Neodiprion lecontei: one gene and its partner. The protein of the gene in region 1 interacts with the protein of each later gene in a pairwise test. Links are inferred from orthologs where the notes say so. Each region holds a gene or a part of one and is shown on either strand. Other genes may lie near its edges.

What was found.
Region 2: the proteins of potential E3 ubiquitin-protein ligase ariadne-2 (region 1) and ubiquitin-conjugating enzyme E2 L3 interact in a two-hybrid assay, tested with the Drosophila melanogaster proteins (2 studies listed by BioGRID). The link is inferred for Neodiprion lecontei from reciprocal best matches to the Drosophila melanogaster genes ari-2 and Ubc10.

The regions. Positions count from the first base shown.
Region 1 is NC_060264.1:31,209,713-31,217,896, forward strand, and holds potential E3 ubiquitin-protein ligase ariadne-2, read right to left. Parts: upstream 6,213-8,184; 5' UTR 6,053-6,212; intron 5,393-6,052; coding exon 4,870-5,392; intron 4,767-4,869; coding exon 4,535-4,766; intron 4,421-4,534; coding exon 4,303-4,420; intron 4,194-4,302; coding exon 3,969-4,193; intron 3,840-3,968; coding exon 3,627-3,839; intron 3,377-3,626; coding exon 3,221-3,376; 3' UTR 727-3,220; downstream 1-726.
Region 2 is NC_060262.1:33,679,399-33,684,433, forward strand, and holds ubiquitin-conjugating enzyme E2 L3, read right to left. Parts: upstream 3,292-5,035; 5' UTR 3,161-3,291; coding exon 3,134-3,160; intron 2,768-3,133; coding exon 2,672-2,767; intron 1,616-2,671; coding exon 1,429-1,615; intron 1,135-1,428; coding exon 968-1,134; 3' UTR 650-967; downstream 1-649.

The DNA of each region.
Region 1 (8,184 bases):
ATATGGATAATTTAATACGCACATAAATATCAGTGCTCAGTAGGAGATGAAATTGATAAAACCTAGAGAATGGTCAATTAATTAACAACGTTGAACAATTTTTGCACTTACGAAATGAAAAACGGTCTCGCATCAAACGCATACAGCATTGTGTTTACAGATTAAATATTAAAGTATCGTCGTTCGATAATATATATATTTTAATTATCGGCATAGGACGGAATTAAAACAAGTATTCTCATATTTCATAATCTATACGTTTCTCCAAAACGTTGTACGTATGTACGTTCAAGTACTTCAATATAGGTATACATTACATAAACGAACTTGATGCAATTTTATTATTATTTACATTAAATATATCAAAATAAAATGTGCACAAATATTTATCGCGTATTTGTAAATTTGAGAATAATTGTGCAAGAGTAAAAAAAAAAAAAAAAATCATGATTTTTCAACACATTAGACTGCAGGAATTATTGTACATTATCATCTGCGTTAAATAATAAATATTGCAAAATTTATCAATGATACACTATAGTGTGTAAATTTTAATTAATAAACAAAACCTTTTTTTATACTTTTGTTCTATTTTGCTGGAAATTATAATTCAGGTAGAAGCGATGAAAGCGAGTTCAACCACTTTTGTTGTATCTGCAGATTAAACTGTTGGGCTGGGAAAATTTTATCTTTAAAATCCATTTATGTGTGTTTTTGTTCATCAAGTGTTTCGGCATTGGCTCTGAACTATGATTCGATTATTTCTAGACATTGAGAGGAGGGGGATAAATTAGACTAGTATTTTTGATTTAAGTAGACGAATATTATAAGCAATGAAATAAAATGACTAATTCGTACGTACATATATAACGAGGATCGAATTTATTTCCACGTAAAATATTACAATGATATTTTATTTTTTCCTAAATTTCTTATTTCTTGCGATAAACTTGTGGACCATAATTAATCTTAAACTAATAATTATCGTTGGAATACCAGAAATATATTAAATTATGCTTGAGCTTCGTAGATTGAAGCGTTAATTACAAATTACAATGTTTATTAATTCCCTAAAATCTTACACGTAATCATAGAAAACGTCACACACAATCTTTCGCGCACATTATAATCGTACACTAATCTAATAATATTTACAGTACAGTTACTCTAATTTTCAAAGTTTTCTGAAATTATCTTAGATTCCTTTCTTTATCAACCCTCTCTATTTTGCTCATTTCTTTTATTCTTCTCATTTAAGGTACTCGTTATTTTATGTTTCATTAATATAACAATTATGATCGGTAATAAAAATCACCCAACCACTTTACTTAATCGCTATTAACGATATACTTGCTGTGACCAAGTCCAAGAATTAAGTCGTATAAGTTTGAAAATTCGTAACATCTTTATCGGAACAGATAAAAAAAAAAAAAATAAAATAAAAAACCAAAAGCCAAAATTCATTTATTATACAATTATACAGGAGTACCGATTGCCTATAATTCATATTCTCATTTCCATTTTTCTATCTTGTTACTGACCTGGACGATTATTGCAAGATAAACTACGCACGCACGCGTCCGCCAAAAAAATACATAAAGTTTATTTGCAAATTCTCACATTTAGCTGACTTTATCGTTGCGATTTTTTTCTTTCATGAAACAGTAATAAAAATGAATTATTGCTTCACTGCCCATAGACTCAGAACGACTTTCTTTACAATATAATCCCTGGCTTGGATGTTACTGCATTTCATATAACGAGCTTTAAGCAGACAATAATTTGCTGTACGTTTGAATATTATTAATAATTGTACTGGTTCGTATAAATAAGAAACATAAATAAAAAATGATTAGACCAGAAAAAATATACATAATATTCATACATACGTTCATAAGAATCAAAGTTTCACGTTTTTTTCTTTTTTCTTCAAATTTTACAAGAGTACAATTTGTTTGTGTTAAATTAAAATTGAAATAATTACTATGATCAGTGTCCATTTATTGAGAGTCAGTAATTGTTCGGATTTTCTGAATCGTTTTGTGTTGAAACAATTATGTAACTAACTGATGAGAGAAACGAAAAAACATTACAAACTGTACTTAACGATAATAACAACAATAATAATAATAATAATAATAATGGTAATAATGGGGAAAAAAAATTTCAGAAACAAAAATGATATAATCATTAAACAGGCAATACAACTTGTAATCACTAATTAGTATAAAACAATTTAACACATAAGTAAATCTATATCAAACGGTTTAACTAGTATATGATCAAAACAAATTGCCTCGTTACGTGTAAGACATTTTTGTCAAATGTCTGATATTTTATTCGGAAGGAAATATTGTGCGAAGATACAGAGTTAATTATTTGATATGAAAAATAAATATCCATGTATCATTGTACCGTTTGATGTCGTTTTACTTGCTTACATATATTCAACAAACGATAACTCACGATTCGTATTCAAAAACTCGAATCAAACTTTCTTAAATGTTTTGCACAACTTAATTTCAATTACTAAAATTCATTTTATCACGATCGTTACAACAACCACGACGGTCTGAATAATCTGAAATATGCTAACTATGTAATTTTTCGCTGGTTACAATATCTTATTCTCGGCCTTATTACTTTGTTTTCGTTTCAATTATGATTAATCAAATTCTGACTTATTCATTTTCTTTTCTTTTTTTTCTTGTGTAGTGTAGTATTCTTTTTGCAACAGCCAAATGTAAATGGAATAATTTTTGCAAACCGTTAAATCAAATTTCGCATGAAATAGCTGATGTTCCATTTTTTATTCGGTTATTTTATTCTCTCAGAAATATTTTCGAGGTTATTTTATTGTTGAATGTTTACCATGTTTCGGGAGATTAAAAATAATTAGCTAAAAGTACGAATGACCTGTATGATAATGGAAATTTGCATTGAGAAACGCAGCACAATCTAATAAAAACGTTAAATTTCAAATAACTGTACGATAATTGTGTTTTAGTATTTTTGCAGAGATCACTAGGTTCTTTAGTTTTCTTCATCAGTAATTCATTAATTCTCTCTTTCAGTTCTACTCTTTTACCCACCTACTTTGCCGTGAAGAGCAGAGGGGACTCTATTGCCAGTTTTTGAACCTGGTTATGATTTATCGGACATAATTGAAAATTATGTCTTAATCGGAAGATAATAAACCGCGATCTGATTCAGACGCGGATCAGACCTCTAAAAAATCCTTGAGCAAAGTTACACGCCGTTTCTCGGCTATGTCCTTCTGATTCTCAAGATCACCACGATCCGTTGTTTCTGCACGCTCAATTTTCCAAGATAGATTCTCTATCTCTGCTTCCAATTGCGCTTGCTGATACTCGAACTGCATGAAAAAAACATAGTTACAGAATAGAATAAAACATTCGCTTTCTCTTTTATTGAAAAACGAATGACAAAAAAATTCTCTAACTTTTATAAGTTAAATAAAGATAAGGAGACTGTTGAATTTTCTATAAAGAAAAAAAACTTCTGCAGTTTGAGCGCGACATCTAATTTATCTGGCACACATATCAGAAATGAACGTTTAGACTTGATTTTCAATGGACAAATGAAGAATTTCTATGTTTACTTACCAGTACTTTTCGCGGTCCTGCCTCCATGAAATAAGCATATGGATATGTGTACTGGAGCGTATACCTACAGCGGGCCAAAAGAGAAGCAGCTTCAAACAAGTGTTGCCAATCAATCCATGTTCCACTGGCATGCATTACTTTCTTGTGGATGCGAGATTTTATTGTTTCCAGTGTTTGCTCTTCCAGCTTGAGCGACTTGCTGTGATTTTCCCACTGTAATAAGATTTCGGTCGATTAAAAACGAGCAATTTACAGGATTTCACGCTCAGATGTAAAGTAAAACAGTTTACCACAACCTTTCGCCTGAGTTGAATATTATATGATAAGTATTTATTTATTTACCCTTTCATAATAATGTAGATATTTTTTCAGGGCTTCCCGAGCTTGTGCATGGACACTTTCACGAGAAATATTAGGATTTTCCTTATACCGTGAACATTCGTAGTATTCGCTGCCATGTGCCTTCCAATCACCCAGGCACATCCAGCAAAAATCGTGTTTGCAATTGTAACATTGCATATGATTGCACCCGCCGTTTTTTTCTATGCAAATGTGGCACTTTGGACACTGAAATCGATTACGAATGTGTTGGTCTACTTCATAATATACGAGTCACTTAAATAAGGGCAGGCGTTTTTTTTACCCACACAATTAGCCAGCATTTCAGTTCACTTACATCTTTGGTGTGAGCGCATATGTAATTTGCAGTCTCTGAGTCATCTGCACATTTAGTAAGCCATTTCTTTATCGTACCGCAGTCGGTTGGTGCATGATAATCCATACCACACCTGAAGCTGGAAATGTTTGGACAAGAAAGATAAACAGATTTGAAATCCCACAAGAAATGAATACCAAATTTGCCAGAGAATAAAAAAACGTTTTCTTAAGCAATCAATAATCGCAGTTACCAAAATGGTGTTTTACAAGAGGAACAGATGACTTTTTTGGCTCTCAATTCTTTGGAGCGTACGACTATCTGGCAATTCGGTCCTGGACAAAAGCGAAGCTGCGGATGAGACTTGACGTAATCACGGAAGACAAACTGCTGATATCTTTCTCTCATTGTCAATTTGGTAAGGAGAGATAGGACAAAATCTTCTGGCACAAGTACTTCGCAGTCCTGAGCCATGCAACCAATTCCTAGAGAAAATGAAACAATAATACGATAGTACGATTGTATGAACGAGTAGTAATGGATCTTGTTGTGTCTGTAATGAAACCTATGAAAAGTTGACGAACGTACCGGTTGAAATGCCTTGTATAATTTGAACTTCGAAATGCATACACCAGCAGTCCTTGCAGAAGGTATGGCCGCATGTTAGAGCGGCGAATCTTTCCAGGGACAAAGTATTAACACAAACCAAACATGTTCCAGTCCTTGCACCTCTGAGGGCTATGCTGCTGTCCGGTTCATGGGAGGATTTGATTTTGGAAGTAACCAAAAGACCGGAGGCGTCGTTGCGATACTTGAGGATAATATCTTGAAGCGCCCACTCATGGGCATGCAACAATACTTTGGCTAGGGATGGCGTGATCTGTAATCTATTACTCAGTTCTTCGACATTCTCATTTAAAAGTCTTTCTACCTCTTCGACTTTGAGGCACTCGTGAATCGCATATTCCGGATCTTTTTTGTTCTGCTCTGAATCAATGTCGTTGTCTGCCTCGCTGCCCCATTGCTGATTATTGTAATAATCGTCGTATCCTGGATCGCCGCAATCCGAATCCGTGTAATCCATGTCGCTCTCATATTCTTCGCCCGACATCTGCGTGGTATTGAAAATAAGTATCGCTGCATCTTTTGATCCCAAAAATGCATGGTATATACAAAATCAGGATGAAAAAATGGCAAACTTGTTAACGTACTGTTTGGTTATAAGGGACAAGTTTGACAAATAACTTTCAAGCGAAATATGATTGAGAAAAAATACTCTTCAGGGCAAAAGTATGTTCGACATGGGGGATTTAGGATGGTGAATTTTTATTAGCGATCAATTTGGTTTTACCGATGCTTGCATGAATTGATGGAACAGTGTCGATGTTGTTCAAGCTGAATAGATGATTGTTCTTTTCTCGAATATAAGGATGAATCGGGGTTATAAATACGTTAAGAGAGTTGGAGTGAGAGAGGGAATGGAGACGAAAAAAATTACGAAATTTCGTCAAGGCTCTGAGTGTACAGTGGGCAAATTGTGGAGACCGTTTATTTCTTGCGGTCCTAATTATTGCAAGAATAGATAAAACATTATTATTCAGATTATGATTGGGAACAATGACGTTTCTGATACCGTAGAACAACAAACGAGGAGAATATACATGCAAACAATAGATGTATGAGGTTCCCAATTTGTTTTCTCGGATTTACAGTTTTCATTCGGGTGAAACTCGAACATTGAATTCTTGGGAATATTCGTCTGAACACGTACCTTGGATCGTTCGATTATCAAGAGAAATGCATTAAAATCACAACTGACGTTGCAAAAATAATGCTCTAAATATCCTCAACTTGGGTAACACCACTCACGACAGAAGACCACCTCGTGTAAAAGCTCCCCCCACTATACACGACGTCAAGAGAGAGACGCAGAAAGGGTGATTACAGACGTGCCGGCAGACGTGCCGTACCGATTGTCCTCCCCTCGACGATAAGGTAGAAAATTGCAGCCTCAGTCGGTAACGAGGTAAACTGAAAAAATAGCCGTCGTGACATAAATGTTATGAAACTATCGAGCAGCTGAGGAATTTCAGTAATTTGAATTTAGTTGGAACGATATCCCCGCAAATAGGACGAAAGTTGAAAACCGCGAATAGCAGGTACAATAATATGGTTACTCGATAGTTTGATTATTAATGCGAATAATTCAGGTAAATTCAGACTTGTTCTGTGCGTGTGCGCATTTTCCAATTTTACTATTCATAATAAATGTCGTTGATGAAAATAAATTCTTCCGTCGACGCAAGTGATAACATTAACGTCACTGTCTGGCAACGTTGACTAAAGATATATTCTTCAGTTAACCCTGACAAGTAACAACAACGATTTTACTAATCATGCTTTTTTCAGAATAAATTAGAGTCGTAACAGAAAATCTGACACCATTACCTTGTCGGAAATTAATTAACGAAGAAAATGAACCCTAGCTCATGAAAATTGGTTGAAGTTTTGTACATTCTTCAGTCAATACTTGAGCCGTTGACCGAAGACCTCCAGCCGTCAAAGCTTTGTCGTTCAAAAGACGCGCCAAATTATCACCGCACAGCGCAGCGTCTTTAGCGGACAGAATTGTAGGTTTGAGCCACAGACTTAGCTCCAGTTGTTGTTAGACCGACGTTGGACCGGTTATCTCCAGATGTAGTCGGTACTCGTATAAGGGCAGTATCGCGAATTCTTCCGGACACAAAGTTATCTCGATAATTGTTGATCCACACGTTGACGTTTTGACATATCAATGAAAGAATAAAAATGCCGAATTACGTGTACTCGTTAGCCGAAAAAATACAGATGGTGTTGCAGCGTGAGCAGGGATTGAGCTACAGGAGCATTACGGATCATTTTGCGGCAACGTATCCTAGCAGGCCGATACCGTCTTCGACAACGGTGAGAAACGTGATAAAAAAATTTCGCGAGACGGGTAACCTCAATGGAAAATTAGTAAAAGTGATCCAGCCATTGAAGCGACTAAAGGATGAAGTGAAGCTGGACATCTGTCTCAAAGTCGTCGAAGACCCGAGCAAACCCATCTCTCACATCGCTGAAGAAATTGGTGTCGCCAAGTCTACGGCGCGAAGGGTTCTCCAACAAACTAAGATGGGGCCGTACGAGCGTCGGAAAGGCGGTAGAAAAAAGAAAGAACCCCATAAGTCTGAAGATGAGGAAAAGATGGAAATCGCTGTCGAGCCTGAACTGCTGATTTTGAAAGTCGAACCACTGTTCATTGATGAAAGCGAACCGTTTTCCACAACAGACATCCAAATGCCTGGAGTGAAAGTCGAACCACTTCCTCCCTCTGAGGAAATCGACCCCTTGTTTGTAGCTAACAGTGAGCTATGTGACGTTAAAAGTGAACCTTCTTCACCCGAATCGTGGTGAACATGCTGATTGCAAAGGTCTTCGTTGAAGGATTCATTTCGATCAATTTTTGGTACTGATAACTTGTATGGGATACATTGGACACTCTGTGGCTGAACTGATGCCCGAGAAAATCTGTTTATTGCTTTTATTTCTTTTTATTACTCATTGGTAACTTAGGTTAGGGGAAAGTCGCAGCTGATATTTCCCGCTGAAAATATTACTGGTGGAATTCGTTAGCTGGTTGTCCCCCTTTTGGTAGGTGTCATTCCGTCCTGTTTTGTCTATAATATTTTTGAACCCAATTTCAGATTCGAATTCTATTTTTAGTCTAGTGATGTTTATCTCAAATTACTGATGCTCGTTTAGAAACTTATTAGGTAACGATCACTCAATAGCATGTCCAAGAAAATCTACTAACATACGTATATAATTTTTAGGCAATATATGAATTAACCTGAGCATGAGAATTGTACGACAGAGGTGCTC
Region 2 (5,035 bases), on another chromosome or scaffold:
TTTTATGTGGTGAAATTCATTCTCTGTTACGTAACAAATTGTCATATGCATTTTCAATCATTTTTGCTCTCAATTATTTAGACAATCACATCATTTGGCTCTGAAACATTTCATAGATTCATTTATTTTGTCATCATACTATTTACTCCACGTAGTTGCAAATAGAAGTCGAGACAATAAATGAAAATATAGCATTCGATGAAAACTGAAACAGATTTCCAATCTTTGATAAATAAGCAACAAGTGCTCTCTTCAACCTCTCACCAAATGGCGTTTGAGCATAGTCCTATTGCAACCTCAAGCCAATTAACTGCAACTTTAAATTAGAAAGTAAAGGACCAATACGCTTACTTCTCTAGATATCGAATCATTTCTCTGACTGATAACCAATCAAGCAGCTCTGAAAGCACATTCTTGACAAATTTGGCACAAAGTTACTCATAATACACAGCTGTTTAAGTCTTGTATAATACACACTATTCCCGACCACAAGCTCGTGAGTAAAAAATAAAAATAGTAACGAACTATCAATTATGTGTGATATGATGTCAGTGTACGTTTCCAAAAGGCTTCTTCTTGAAAGTGGTCTTACCATTGTATTGTCGCGATCATTTGATCCCTATTATGAATTAGTAACAATAACGGAAAATCGGGTATTGACATCAATGGCTACCAAAACCGCCCTTGATGGCTTCTATTGAATGATATACAATATTTATTATTATAATTTATAATATTATTAAAAGTTCTCCATCTTATGAATAATTATTATGATTTTCATTTCTTTTTCTTCAATTTTTCTTCTTTTACTCTGATTCTCTTTTAAATCAATTAACCAATACTGTACGATGGGATTTCAGCCCTGAAGCTAGCAACATCCTGGTTTTCTCTGAGTCAAGTCAGGGTACCAATTAGGTCATGAGGCGGGCGGACAAACAGGCATCTCGGTGAGTTAGGCTAATCGATGTTATTCTGCTGAAGCCGATTCTCGCCTCTTCTCTGCATGTTTTTTTGTAAACTCCTCTGCATTCTTGAAAAACTTTCTTCTATCTTTCAAAAATTCTTCTGCTAAATCTGCTCTCAGTGGATGCTCAGGTTCAGGATCATTTACCAATGCGATCAATGCTTGAATCACTAGAGATGAAGGTATAACAAAAAAGTGTCGAAAAAGTTATGTCGGTTATTCATTTTCTTGGGCTATTTGTTGTATCAGACATTTTAAAGTGGTTACTAACATCATCAAGAAATATGTTATTAAGAATGAATAAATAAAAATATGCCGGAATGACTTTCTTAATTAAAGGTGAACGTATGAATAATGTAAACAATTGATTTTTACAAGAATACTGATAATTCGATTCGTGGAACATGATTGTTGATCAAGAATATTGAGATAACTATTACTGTTGAATATTACAACCACTTTACCTTGATCGGTTTTTGTGGCAGGCTTCCAATTTTCAGCACTGATGATTGCCAAACACACCTGACCCTTTTCATCAATGTTGGGGTGGTATATTTTTGTTTTGAAGTTTATTCTTGGTGGTTTAAATGGATATTCTGCTGGAAAATTTATTTCGATACGGAAGGCACCTTTGTTGTACGGAGGATCATCCTGAAATTTTATTGGTAGATTAAATTTAATCATCTGACAACTAGAATAGTTATAATTAACATTGTTTAAAAACTATAAAATACTGATACATTTTCAATTGCATCAAAGCATTTTCTTCCAATTTTGTTCTCACATTGGTTTCCCAAAAACAACGTAAAATTCAAGATTCTTATGTAAGTGTAACAAGTTCATCGACATGGTTAAAATTTCAAATTACTAGAGTGGAATTCATATTAACGGACATGCAATTTCAGCAATTCATCGGGAAGAAATATTTGAATTTCAACAACTGTCTGTAAAAAATACAATATTTTTGATCATCTTTCAAGTGATTTTATTAGCAGTTTGACATAAAATTTTTTATTTCCGATGAAATATATTACAGTTCATGAAAAAATTAGATTTCATATTTTTTTTGTTTCTCTGGTCGTGTAAACAATTACAACTGAATCAAAACACAAGCAAAATTTACTATTGGCAGTAACTTGTACCTACTACTACATGAAAAATTTCAGTTCTTGCTTAAGTTCTCAAATTTCAGGGAACTGATTTGCTCCACACAAAGTTTTTAACCAAATTTTAATAAAACGAACCCATTACTTCATTGGTGCTTTAATTCAACTTCAATACTAAACAAAAACAGATTGGTATATGTTTTGAATCGAGTGTGAGGTCTGTTACCAGTTCAACGATCATTGGTTGATGTATATGAATAATCATCAAGGAATTCCTCATGCATGTAAAGGAAGTACAATTCAATGAAGCCTCCTAATAAACTGATATTTTGATGTTAAAATGATGACACAATTACGACCTTCATTTAATCCTATAATATCGGAGCATGCTTGTGCTTGTTCAAATACACAAATACCACTGATGAATCATGCATGCATGTAAGGTGAATCTGGAAAGTTCATAGAAACATGCACATACTTATACATGTGTATATATACATATATGCATGAATACCTCTGCGTGAATACACAGAAGCATACAGAGCGGATTTGGAGCAGGTAAGTTAGGTTATGTTTGAAACTAATTACAAATATAACATACCGGTAAGATAAGACCTTGCCAAGTAAGAATATTAGCTTCGTCGACTTGGATGTTGGTAAAATTTTTCATGGCTGACGCCCTCAAGTCACTTAGTTCCTGCGAAAAAAAAGAACAGTTAAAACGTGACAATGGTGGTAGAGGAAAAAAACGAAACACTTAAGTGGTAATCCTAGTAAGAATGATTCATAACGCAGGTAAACTTAATTAAGAATAATAATTTGAAAAACTTCGAATGATTGTCGGATTCAATAATTAATCAATTCATAACGTTTCCCGCTGATAAGAAAAATTGTAAATGCTAAATTGGTCACTCAAAAATTTTTGACATTTGTCAACGGGAAATAAAAAATAACTCCAACACAACGTTACGTTCCCGTCCTATGTGTCTTTTCAGGTTATAATCATTAATTCTAATCATATATAAGTACTATGGAATGAAATTGTTGAAAAATGTCAAATTACCTTCTGCAGCCTCCGTGTGGCTGCCATTTTGAATATAACAAATTTCACTAAACTGGGCGGAAGTCGTCCGTTCAAGAAACGTTGGTTCGGAACCTTTTCAGAACGCAAGACTCCCGCTGTAGTTGGCAGTGAATGGCCCAGAATTCTCTGCAATGCGCGCTGAGAATTTATCTCAAGGACGTCATGGCACGGAACGTGTGATCCTACCACAGAAATCACTTTTCACTAATTATCAATACCAGATAGAAGATCTCGCTTCGCTCTTCGCATCATTTGCAAATTGTATTTTCATTTTCGTTTTGTGCGAACCCGAGAATGTTTCATATTGCATATCAGTTATTCTATTATAATTTATTCAACATTCGTCGATTGAAGTTTGCCTCCAGTTTCCGTACACAAATGTTATTGAATTTGAATATAGTAATATTTTACCTTGTCTTGCTGGTAGTCGTTGAAACCCTCGTAGCTAAGTTCAAATCGTATGATTTGCATGACCTTACAGGAGCTGCGGGATAACTGCGTTCGGTTTTACTTTTACTATGGGGTTTATTCGCTACAAAATCATGGTTACTAATAAGCTCATGAATGGAATCAATACATGCCTGTTATAAAATATAAACTAAATTTTTTATTTGTTAATATTAACATTATAATCTACATAAGGACATTCTTATAACAGCTGCATTACCGTTGCAATCAATAATGCAGTACGGACGCCAATATTGTATTTTGTAAAACTGTATGCACATGCATAATAGACTTATATGTGATAATGTAATATTATTTATATAATTAAATCGTTTACAACATTAGAGTAATTATTCAATTATGCCGATTCGTGACACCTTACACACTAGTATGAAACTTCGACTTGTTTTTTTACAGTCACATTTGCACCTAGAATTAACGTTGAAATTTTTTGTATGATTTAAAGAAAGTAAACGTACAAAATTAGTCCAGTCAAAATGTTTCTGAAATCGGCCTTCCGAACTAGAAAGCTGATTTTTTGGGGTAAGCCGTGTTTGACAATCACAAAACAATATGTTCCGAAGTATCAGGGTTGCAGCACTTAGGGTACCGAAAAAAAATTAAAAAGAGTGGAAAAACATTTTTAGCTTATAACTTAAAATCTGAACATAAAATTGAAAAAAATTTCAAAGGAAAGTTGTAGAGCACATGAACAATCTTCTATTGAAATTATTGAGATTTATAATATTTCAGAAATTTATTTTTCTACTTCACCTGTCCAGTACAATAAAAATGTGAAATTTGTCTACTCTCAAGGTTTTAAGATGGGAGAAAAAAATGTAGAAAGAAATGCTCGATGATATCAATATCAGTCTGATGCTGTGATAGAGCTTTCGAGAATTTTGAGTTCTACAAAAACAATTATACTATAATTTCTCATATTAGTTTGAATGCTTTTTTTTTTAATTCGAAACGTCAGAAACGAATTTCGGTATAGTATCAATTCACGTACAACATTTAAAAAGATTTTCATCTCATTTTATTTCGGCCAAATGATTTTTATCATACGAAGAATTGATCTGCATTTTAAGCATGCGAGGAAGCACGTTGAACGCGGCAATAAAAGTAAGTAATCATAGCTCATAAAAGGAGTGCAGGCAAAACAAGCGGTTTAGGGTGGCTATAAACCAGCCCTCGAACTTCCCGTTTCTATACTGCAGGTCCCATCATGGTTCCAAATTCACAAAAAAAAAAAAAAAATAATAACATCACATTCGAAATTCGAACTGTAAATTCAAATTCGTGATTAACGATTTACGCTACTGAGACCTCAGATCCCATATTACATCGCACATTACAATTTTGGAAATCTAACTTCAGATTAGTTATCGGTGAACCAAAGACCTCCGACTAGTAATTTTTACCAAAATTCGA